Linked DNA regions of Caenorhabditis elegans. The protein of the gene in region 1 interacts with the protein of each later gene in a pairwise test. Each region holds a gene or a part of one and is shown on either strand. Other genes may lie near its edges.

Region 1 (4,169 bases):
AACAACTGGAATCCAACTTTCCAGAAATGATATCCCAATTGATTGCTCGGATGCTGACCTGTGTTTCAATGAGAATGTATTTGGCTCCGCAAGTAATACGAATTTCCTTTTATCCTGCACTTTTTTATTGATATTTTGGTGATTATGGATATAAATTGATTTATTCTCCGGTTGTTTTTTTTTCAGACAAAAATGTGTGCCTGCCTATATTATGCCTACCGATTTGACCGGATTTGCTATATTTGAAAATTTTCCACTGAGCTTCTGAAAGATTCAATTTTTCAAAAATACAATTCTCCCACAAAATTAAAATTGGAGAGTAGAAAGGTAGAAAATTTAAACTATGTAAAAAAATTATGAAAAGGTGGGAGAATTAAGAGTTTGATGACTTTTTCGTAGAAATTAACCTTTTTTGCCACCATTTACTATTTTACAGGTAGAACTGGGAAGGTTTTGTACAACTGAAAATATCAAAACAGAATCAAATCAGATTCGAATCACAAATGCACAAAGACACACAAGAAGCTCGAGACTTTTTAAAAATTAATTAAACGAGCATTCAAATGGATTTTTATTGACACAAGATTGGCACAAGAGATGTAAGTACTATTCAAGCCTTTGGTGGTTCAGCAGATCCAAACAATCCATAGACCAAAGCCTTCGAGAAGAGGAACGAGGAGACCAAGAGGATTTGATACATATGGTGCTGAAAAAAGAATTTTTAAAGTTTGAGTTCATCGGTTATTTGACTTACTCTGTTTGGTGGCGACATGTTCTTGTTGGCAATTTGAAGAAGTGCACCAGAAGCAACACTGTAAAGTGCACTCAAGAGGAAATAAGAGAATGAGAGGCTTCCAGAGACGATTCCAAACACAAGCTGAACACCGAGAGCAGCCCCAATTGCACCGCCCAGCAATGGAGCACGAGCTGTACCAACTTGTCCGGCAATCAATGGATATGCGAATGCAATGACCAATGGAGTGATGAATCCAAGTGGTTGGCCACCCAAGTAAGTGTACGAGATTGAGTGTCCCATCAAAATTCCTTGAGCCAAGGCCAGAACCAACAATTGAAATCTTGTGGCAGAAGTTGAGCCATCCTCAGCATTCAAATAATATGCACCGGCTCCTGGGAGAACAAGAGAGGCGAGAATTGCAGCACCACCTCTTCCAATGAAGATTCCAAAGATTGGCGAGAGCACATATCCACCAATAATGCTGGCAATCCCGGCTCCGAGAAGAAGAATCGAAGACCATCCAAAGATCTCAACAACCGAGGAAGTTGGCAAGGCAACTGGTTGTTGAGTCTCTTGAAGAGCCGAGAGAATCTCCTGGGTTTGTGGTTGGATCTGCGACTGCAGCTGTTGGATTTGAGCAGGCCCGTCTTGTTGAAGAGAAGTGGCACGTTGACGGAGACCTGAAAATTAATAGATGAGTGATGCCAGTTTGCGATGTGTCAATCAGGAATCATGCAGAATTGACATAAATATTGCCAGGTTCTACAGGTTCCACAATCCACAAAAACCAAACTTCCTTACCTTCTGCAGCTTGTTGGATGTCCTGAACGTAATTGGCGTACGTCTTCGTTACAAATCCAATTTATGCATCCTGTCCTCCTGCACCCATTTGTGATCCTCCAGCTTCTGGTGCAGCTGACGGAGCATCAGCAGGTGGTGCGGCATCTGTTGGTGGAGCACCAGCACTGGGCTCCATTGCGGATTGTCCTCCTTCGGCCATTGTTTCACTTGTTCACCAAAAGTGCGGTTTGTAGTCCAAACTCGAGGTGTCGAGTATATCGGTTAATGAATTTTTTGGACGATTTTCTCCTATTTATGCACATAATCCACGTAAATTTGGGGTGGCACGTAAAATGATTATTATTTACTCTTGTTTTTATTCAAAAATAAAAATCACGGAAAAAATGTTTTTTGGAGACTTTTATATTAAGTTTGTACAATTTCAATAAAAACAAGAGTAAAGAATAATCATTTTACGTGCCACCCCCAATTTACGTGGATTATGTTCATAAATAGGAGAGAATCGTCCAAAAATTTTATTAATCGATATACTCGACACTTCGAGTTGGAATCTTCAAGGTTAGTTTGTTATCACTTTACACATGTAAAGCGTGTGTAATACGTGTATCAGTGTTGCGGGGAAATTGCCGACGGGCAATTCTACAAAATGAGCCAGTGTGGCAAGCACCCCTGATACGCGTATTATTGATGAAGTCTTTTCTGGCTTATCGCAATATATATCGGAACTTTTAGCACTCTGTGCAACTCACAAATCCGATACAAACCGCCCTTTTGGTGAACAAGCGAAAAATGGCCGAAGGAGGACAATCCGCAATGGAGCCGAGTGCTGCTGCTCCACCATCTGATGCCGCACCACCTGCTGATGCTGCTCCGTCAATTGCCCCAGAAGCTGGAGGATCTCAAATGGGTGCAGGAGGGCAGGATGCATCAATTGGATTCGTTACGAAGACGTACGCAAATTACGTTCAGGACATCCAACAGGCTGCAGAAGGTAGGGAAGTTTGGTTTTTGTAAAAGGTGGAATCTGTAGAAAACAACATTTATGCCAATTCTGCAAGGTTCCTTATGAACACGTTGCAAACTGGCATTATTTATCTATTAATTTTCCAGGTCTCCGTCAACGTGCCACTGCTCTTCAACAAGATGGGCCTGCTCAAATCCAACAGATGCAGTCGCAGATCCAATCACAAACCCAGGAGATTCTCTCGGCTCTTCAAGAGACTCAACAACCAGTTGGCTTGCCCACTTCCTCGGTTGTTGAGATCTTTGGATGGTCTTCGATCCTTCTTCTCGGAGCCGGGATTGCCAGCATCATTGGTGGATATGTGCTCTCGCCAATCTTTGGAATATTCATTGGAAGAGGTGGTGCTGCAATTCTCGCCTCTCTTGTTCTCCCAGGAGCCGGTGCATATTATTTGAATGCTGAGAATGGCTCAACTTCTGCCACAAGATTTCAATTGTTGGTTCTGGCCTTGGCTCAAGGAATTTTGATGGGACACTCAATCTCGTACACTTACTTGGGTGGCCAACCACTTGGATTCATCACTCCATTGGTCATTGCATTCGCATATCCATTGATTGCCGGACAAGTTGGTACAGCTCGTGCTCCATTGTTGGGCGGTGCAATTGGGGCTGCTCTCGGAGTTCAGCTTGTGTTTGGAATCGTCTCTGGAAGCCTCTCATTCTCCTATTTCCTATTGAGTGCACTTTACAGTGTTGCTTCCGGTGCACTTCTTCAAATTGCCAACAAGAACATGTCGCCACCAAACAGAGTAAGTTAAATACCCGATAAACTTCAAAAACTTCAAAAATCCATTTTTCAGCACCATATGTATCAAATCCTCTTGGTCTCCTCGTTCCTCTTCTCGAAGGCTTTGGTCTATGGATTGTTTGGATCTGCTGAACCACCAAAGGCTTGAATTGAACTTACCCATTTCTTGTGTCAATAAAATGAATTAGAATTCTCCTGATTGTTCAAAAGTTTCATGTTTTTGCAAGTCTTCTCAAGCTTTTTGAGCTCCTGTAATCAGTTCAAACTGATTCCATTTCGTCACAATTTCCGTCAAAACAGATTTTTTTTCTGGAAGGTTTTACTATGGGTTATTTGGGCTCATAGGACTGGTGTTTAACGATTTCCCCACTGTTGCGACATCTGATTTTTGAGATTATTTGCTCCTTTTCAATTTGGTTTTCTATTTTTCAGTTTTTTTCAACCTGAAACCTGAATTTTCTGAGAACGTGAATCACACGGGGTTGAAGAAACTATTCTCCCAATTCTTTTCAATTTTTCCAAGAAAATCAATTGGTAAAAACTATGGTGTTACTGCCGAAATGTCTTGTTTTCTTGGTTTTCCTGGTAACATGCAATGGGCAGATGTTGAAGCTGACCGAAGAGCAAAATGAGAAAAGACTCAAAATCTGTGGGAGATCGGAAAAGTGAGTTTGTCAGCCAATAAATTCCTAATTTTCAATTTCAGATCCGCCTACTATTACGATTTAGACGGAGGATATCGAACTTTTATGGTGTCGCCTTACCACTTTATTACGGATCTTAGCATTATTGGATCAAAATATAGCATGAAATCTTGTAAAGCAGAGTGAGATAGGCATCTTAGGGCTTCCATGGGAGGCA
Region 2 (5,779 bases), on another chromosome or scaffold:
TTTCTTCAAAAAATCAGTGTCAACAAGCTAGACCAGCTGACTTCTCAACTCTTCGGTCATTGCTCTTTTCGTGTTCATTTTGTTACACTTGTACTGCGTGCACATATGAAGATGAATTGGCAACGAATTGTTTGCAAAAGAAGTGATCGGAAGCTTAACTTTTCAGTGTGTGGAGCAGTACAAATACCATGTAGCTTTGTTTTAACTTGTAAGAGAAAAAAAGAGATGAGTAGGCTGGTTATTTCCAATGATTTTGAGATATTTCATGCGAAAAAGTTTACTTTCATCGATCTCACGAAAAACTTTGCACAACTCTCCTGATCTGCAACCAGAAAATTCGTTGTCCTTTCTGTTTTCTTTCTAAATTTTTTTTCTATTTTCGCTTGCCGTCATTATTATTATCCAACATTCGAGAGTATTTAGAGAAAATGAGAGAAAAAATGTGTGCTTTCTTTACAATTGACAGGAGAGAGAGACGTCGGGGAAACCCTCTTCTTCTGATTCTCACCCATCCCGTTATCATGATCACATGACACTTCCCTCCACTCCGGGGTTCCCCGTACTGAATGTAATCAGTTGGTTGGTCGACTACCCAGTCGACGGTGAAAACTTCACGCGAGCATCGCAATTTTCATTTATTTTTTCTTAACTTTTCTCGGTATTAACGCATTTTTTTCTTTTGTACGATACGATGCGACATGATTCAAGGTTGCCTCGATTGATTTTACTGAATTCAGAAGTTCAACCTGACGATTAGTAATTTTATTTATTTTATTCATCGGAAATACGATTAAATACTTAAAGCATTCTCAATATAATTTTATTGACCGTTGACACTCACATGTGAGTTGAGTTGATTTTTAGAAAAGAGACGTAATGGGAAAAAACCACGTGTAGTGTTATCAGCCATTCTCGAATGTCGTTGAAATTGTGCAATACCCGGACAACCACAATCCAGCGAACAAATTGATAATGATAGTTTGAAAAATTGTGTCAACTTATTCAAATTTGCAACAATGTTTAAAAGTGCGTAGATCATGTCTGCGTCTCATCGGGAATGTTGACCGCCTGATGTGCGTGCGCATTCGAAACAATTATCATCGACGTTTTCGAATTATTTTCCTCTCGTCTTCTCGGCATGCGTTTGCGTGCAATCATACCGAAGAAACGGTATAGTATACTGTTCAATCAGTTAGTCACATGTAATAGTTGAAAGGGGTTCCCCATAATGACATGTGATCTTTTCTTCTTTTTCCTTTTCTTCGTACTGTTCTCATGACGTAATGTTCTCTTGATTGAAAAAGAAGTCGTTGTTGAAGGAGAATTGAAAGAGATGCAGAAAAACAAATTATCGATAAATTTTCTGTTGCTATTCAATAAGATTTTTCAACAGTAAGGATGTAGTTTGTAACATACGAATATTAACATATCTTTGCACCCCGTATTAAATCTAATTGGAATTAATTTTTTATGTATCAGCAAAAGATGAAATTTTCGACCGTCTAATAAAAAAATCATTACTTTTATTTTAATATTACTTGTTGCTTAAAAATGCATTTTCGCTCCAATGACATGGCCGAGGACCGTTTAAGGCCGACGTTAATATGCCCATCGTCCAGTGTCCCATACTCTTTTCTACCTCTCCTTTTTCTCTTACTTTCATTTTCTTTGTGTAAGTGTCTGGAACCAGTCTGCTCCTTCTTTCTCATCTATTTTCACCCTCTCACTTTACTATTTGTTCTCATTTTCTATAAATTGCAACCTACATAGTAACTCATAGAGAGTCCCACTAAATATTTATTTAGCCCTCATTCATCAGGCACTTCGATCTCTCTTTACTTTTCACTAATAAAGTTAATTTTACTTTTAATTTCAGATTTCATCTGATATGGATCACAATGCAGCTCTGACGACATGCAGTACCTCGGCCATTCCGAGACTTGCGAGATTGGCGACTGAACGAATTGCTGAGCTCATCGAAAATGGTAAATTTATTGATTTCGGCATTTATGGAAATTAAAGTTTCAGATGCTCTGCCAGAGTTTGATCACAAGGTAATCGCCTCATGCAGCAACGATATTTTTGAAGTTCTTCGCCAAAAAAAGAAACTCAATCATCAAACTTTGCAAACGATGTGCAGTACCTCACGATTCCAAATCAATAAAATTGATTTGATGGGCAACAAGGTTGAGTTGCAAGATTTGGAGCTTTGTTCGAACCAGAACCTGGTTTCATTCCGACTTGGCGATATTGATTACTTTCCAAGTAAGCAGTTTTTGTTAAAACATTTTAATACATTTTTTTTCAGATACGAACAAAATTCAAGTGGCTGACGTGCTTGATACGGCACTCAACCGAACTTCACGACAACAGCTTCGACATCTTGATCTGAGTGGACGACACAGAATCACTTCAAATTGGCCGACGTATGTAGCGAGAAAACTTCCTCGTCTGGAAAGTCTTGCTTTCGCTAACAGAAGCACTGCCAACGAAACTTTGTCACAAATTGGAGCGAGTTTGTTGAATCTTCGGTTCCTGGACATTTCGAGCACCTGTGTCACGGATATTTCTTGCATTTCAAGTCTTCGAAATCTCGAAGTCCTCATTATGTACAACCTGAACATTTTGAAAGGGGATGTCACAGAGACATTGTCTAATTTGACAAAATTGCGTGTATTAGACATTTCAAGAAAAGTCAACACAGACTATTTACAAGAAACGTCACAGGATGCTCATCTCGATTTGGCTCTTGGTATCTACAACAGATCTGTGGAAGCAATTGAGAGCGGGACAGCTACGCCTTGGGCGGAGCTAAGAGCAATTGATATGTCTGGTTTGAGCATTGTTCAATTTGGTACCGATCGAGCACTGGCATTTGTTGAGAAGATTATTGAGGCGCATCCGAAATTAGAGCAAATTAGCTTACTTGGTTAGTAATAGTTTTATTCTGGAAATGTAGTGTTTTAATTCTGAAATTACAGCAACTCCACTCGACTCGTCACTCATTGAGATTCCAAACAGAAATTTGCAAGTGATCAACACAGTCTCGAGAAGATCTATCATTTTTGCATTGTCCCATTATGCAAATCTGGACAGGCCTGCATTCATCACTCATGCTCTCCATTCTGTGTATTACCAGTTACAGTCCGGCTACGACAAGTTTTCACAGGAGGAGTTGAAAGAGTGTTTACGGCTTGTGTGTATCTCGATGCAGCAGGGGCTCAACACTTTGCCAGTGCAGATTGCGGGTAGTGCTTGTCTCTATCATCTTTGCAAGTACGTATTATTATTTTATAAATGTATTTTCCATGATGGAAACTTTCAGAATGAAGCGAATCAAGAGATTATCAGTAAAAGAAGTCAACAATTGCATTGAACGGTCACTTGACGCAGCAGAGCAGTATAGAAGCATGACGCAGCTGCAGAAGAACGTCTGGCTTACAATTTGTAATGATTATCTTCTTCATTTGGATGAAATTGATTTCTACCGTACCTGCAAAGTTGCTCTCGACACGATGCTTTTGAATCGTGATGCCAGCGTTGAGAGAATGACTATTGCAATTGTGTCGATTGTGACTCCAAAGATGCGACCATCAGAAGCAAAGATTCTAACAACTGAAACCAAATATGTATACCATCTTGTCAAAATCATGAATGATTATCTGGAGGCATATACTCGTGAACATCGAGTTGGACACGAACGAGACAATGAAAATGCACTGTATACTCTGAAGTTCACCCTGAGTGCACTCTGGAATCTAACAGACGAATGCCCGGCTACATGCAAAGCATTTTTGGATGCTGGAGGTGTTCAGATTGCGTTCAGAATTCTCAAAGCTTTTGATTATCATGGAAATGTGCAGACGAAGGTTCTTGGCATCCTCAACAACTTGGCCGAAGTGGAAGAATTGCATTTGGGACAGCTTTGCAAAAACGAGTATATTTCTGTTCTTATGTATGTTTTTTAATTCGTTGAATTCAATTTAACCAATTTTTTTCAGTTCTTGTCTTGACGGATCATTCAACGAAGTAGATTCGAAAGGACGGTATCGTGAAGTTGAACGATCTTATTTCGCTGCTGGAATTCTCGCTAATCTTCTGACCAACACTGATGGTTGGGAGAGTGAAAATCAACGTGACGAAGCTTGCGAAAAGCTCTTGGAGCTTATTGAGCAGTATCCCACACTTCCATCGGCAATGGTCTCCTACAAATCTTTCATTCCATTCAGTCGTATTGTTAGAGAGTCAAATTCGAATGGGGCCATCATGTGGTGTTTGTGGGGAGTTCATCACGTTCTTCAACATCGCGAGAAGAACAAAGCGCCTACGTATGAGAAAGGGTACGTTTTTGATTTACTTTTTTCTTAATTTCAAAAATCATTTCAAAACATTTTCAGATACATCGAAATGTTTATGGATTCCGGGCTTTCTCCAATCGTCGAGGATATGTCCCATGGACACTCGAAACACATTCACAATCTGGATATTCGTGTGGTTCATCTCGCACGAGAAATCATTGACATTGTCTCATGCCATTCACTATCTTCCAGCCCAGTTCGATTAGTCCGTCGAGTTTAGTCATTTTTTTGTTTATTTTTTTTATTATTATTTTTGTTTAGCTTTCCCATTTTCAAAGTCCCCATCTACAGGTATATCAAATTGAAACAAGTTATATTTATACGGGTTGATATTTTTATCCGTTTCACCCATAGCAATTAGATTGCATTAAAAACTAAATTAGATGTTTGGTTTCACTATTTTTCACTTCTCCCTGTAATATGTTGAACTGTGAATGTGATTACTTCTGTGGATATTTCATCGGTTGTTTCCATTTCTTTTTCTGTACCCATCCCTACTCACAAATTTGCTCGTCCCACTTTCTTTCGCGGGTATTTTTTCGGGAGTACCATTTCCTCCTTTATGTTTGAAATAGTTGTATATTTTCAGATTCTATTGTGAATGAAAACGTTGAAGCTCTGAAATTTGGTTTATTACTTGAGAAATTTAGAGATCATGCAACAGAAAACAATATAAAATCGGAAATACTGAAAACCAACACAGAAAAGATTTTTGACAAATTCATCACAGTGTTTAATCATTAATTACATGGAAAGTTACGGAATTCCGGGAATATTGAGATCTTTTCGTCTGTCGCGATCTTCATATTTTGCTTCTTCAATAACATCCGAGTGACTTCTCGGTGGAGCCAATCCAGACCTGTCATATCCCCAGTACTGACCAATCCGACGAGGATCTTGACCCGGTGGAAATGATGGAGGTTTTGAGTCTTCTTCTACAAAGCATTCTTCTTCCATTTTCTCTGATACTTTTCCAACTTCATATTCAATTGAAGATTTTGATGATTTTTGTAGTCGTTCATTTTCTTCGATTTGCTCAATTTCGTCGAGCCTGATTCCAACAATATTTTGCATTTGAACTGATGGTGCTCCACGAATCATTCTCAAACATGCCAGCGTTTCTTTTTCAATAGAAGCCAAATATGCCGCAGAATTAGCATCATTCATTTTTGGAACCAAATTTGGGCGAAGAAGTCGTGGAGTGAAATAGTGCGAGTATAATGATGTTCCAGGGATTTCATCGTCCATTCGAAGACCTAAAATGACTCCAGTTTCAAGGGCCCAGCATCTCGCAACATTTCTAAGTGTATATCCACCACCACCAAGGACCATCAATGGTTTTCCAAGACTTTTCACGTATTTGACTGCGCGTGCATGTGCATTGAATCTTAATATGTTTAGATTTAATTAAAATATTTAGA

What was found.
Region 2: the proteins of W03D8.9 (region 1) and zyg-11 interact in a two-hybrid assay, tested with the Caenorhabditis elegans proteins (one large-scale study listed by BioGRID).

Annotation. Positions count from the first base shown.
Region 1 is NC_003279.8:2,783,954-2,788,122, reverse strand, and holds W03D8.9 (Membrane transporter protein), read left to right. Parts: upstream 1-2,045; 5' UTR 2,046-2,095; intron 2,096-2,269; 5' UTR 2,270-2,326; coding exon 2,327-2,528; intron 2,529-2,647; coding exon 2,648-3,309; intron 3,310-3,360; coding exon 3,361-3,456; 3' UTR 3,457-3,503; downstream 3,504-4,169. Other genes in the region: W03D8.14 (uncharacterized protein), read left to right, coding at 1-142; Y71F9B.15 (Glycoprotein), read left to right, coding at 3,852-3,973, 4,015-4,134.
Region 2 is NC_003280.10:8,015,804-8,021,582, forward strand, and holds zyg-11 (Early embryogenesis protein zyg-11), read left to right. Parts: upstream 1-1,876; 5' UTR 1,877-1,888; coding exon 1,889-1,985; intron 1,986-2,028; coding exon 2,029-2,265; intron 2,266-2,308; coding exon 2,309-2,929; intron 2,930-2,981; coding exon 2,982-3,276; intron 3,277-3,325; coding exon 3,326-3,955; intron 3,956-4,001; coding exon 4,002-4,340; intron 4,341-4,397; coding exon 4,398-4,578; 3' UTR 4,579-4,982; downstream 4,983-5,779. Other genes in the region: hda-2 (Putative histone deacetylase 2), read right to left, coding at 5,115-5,745.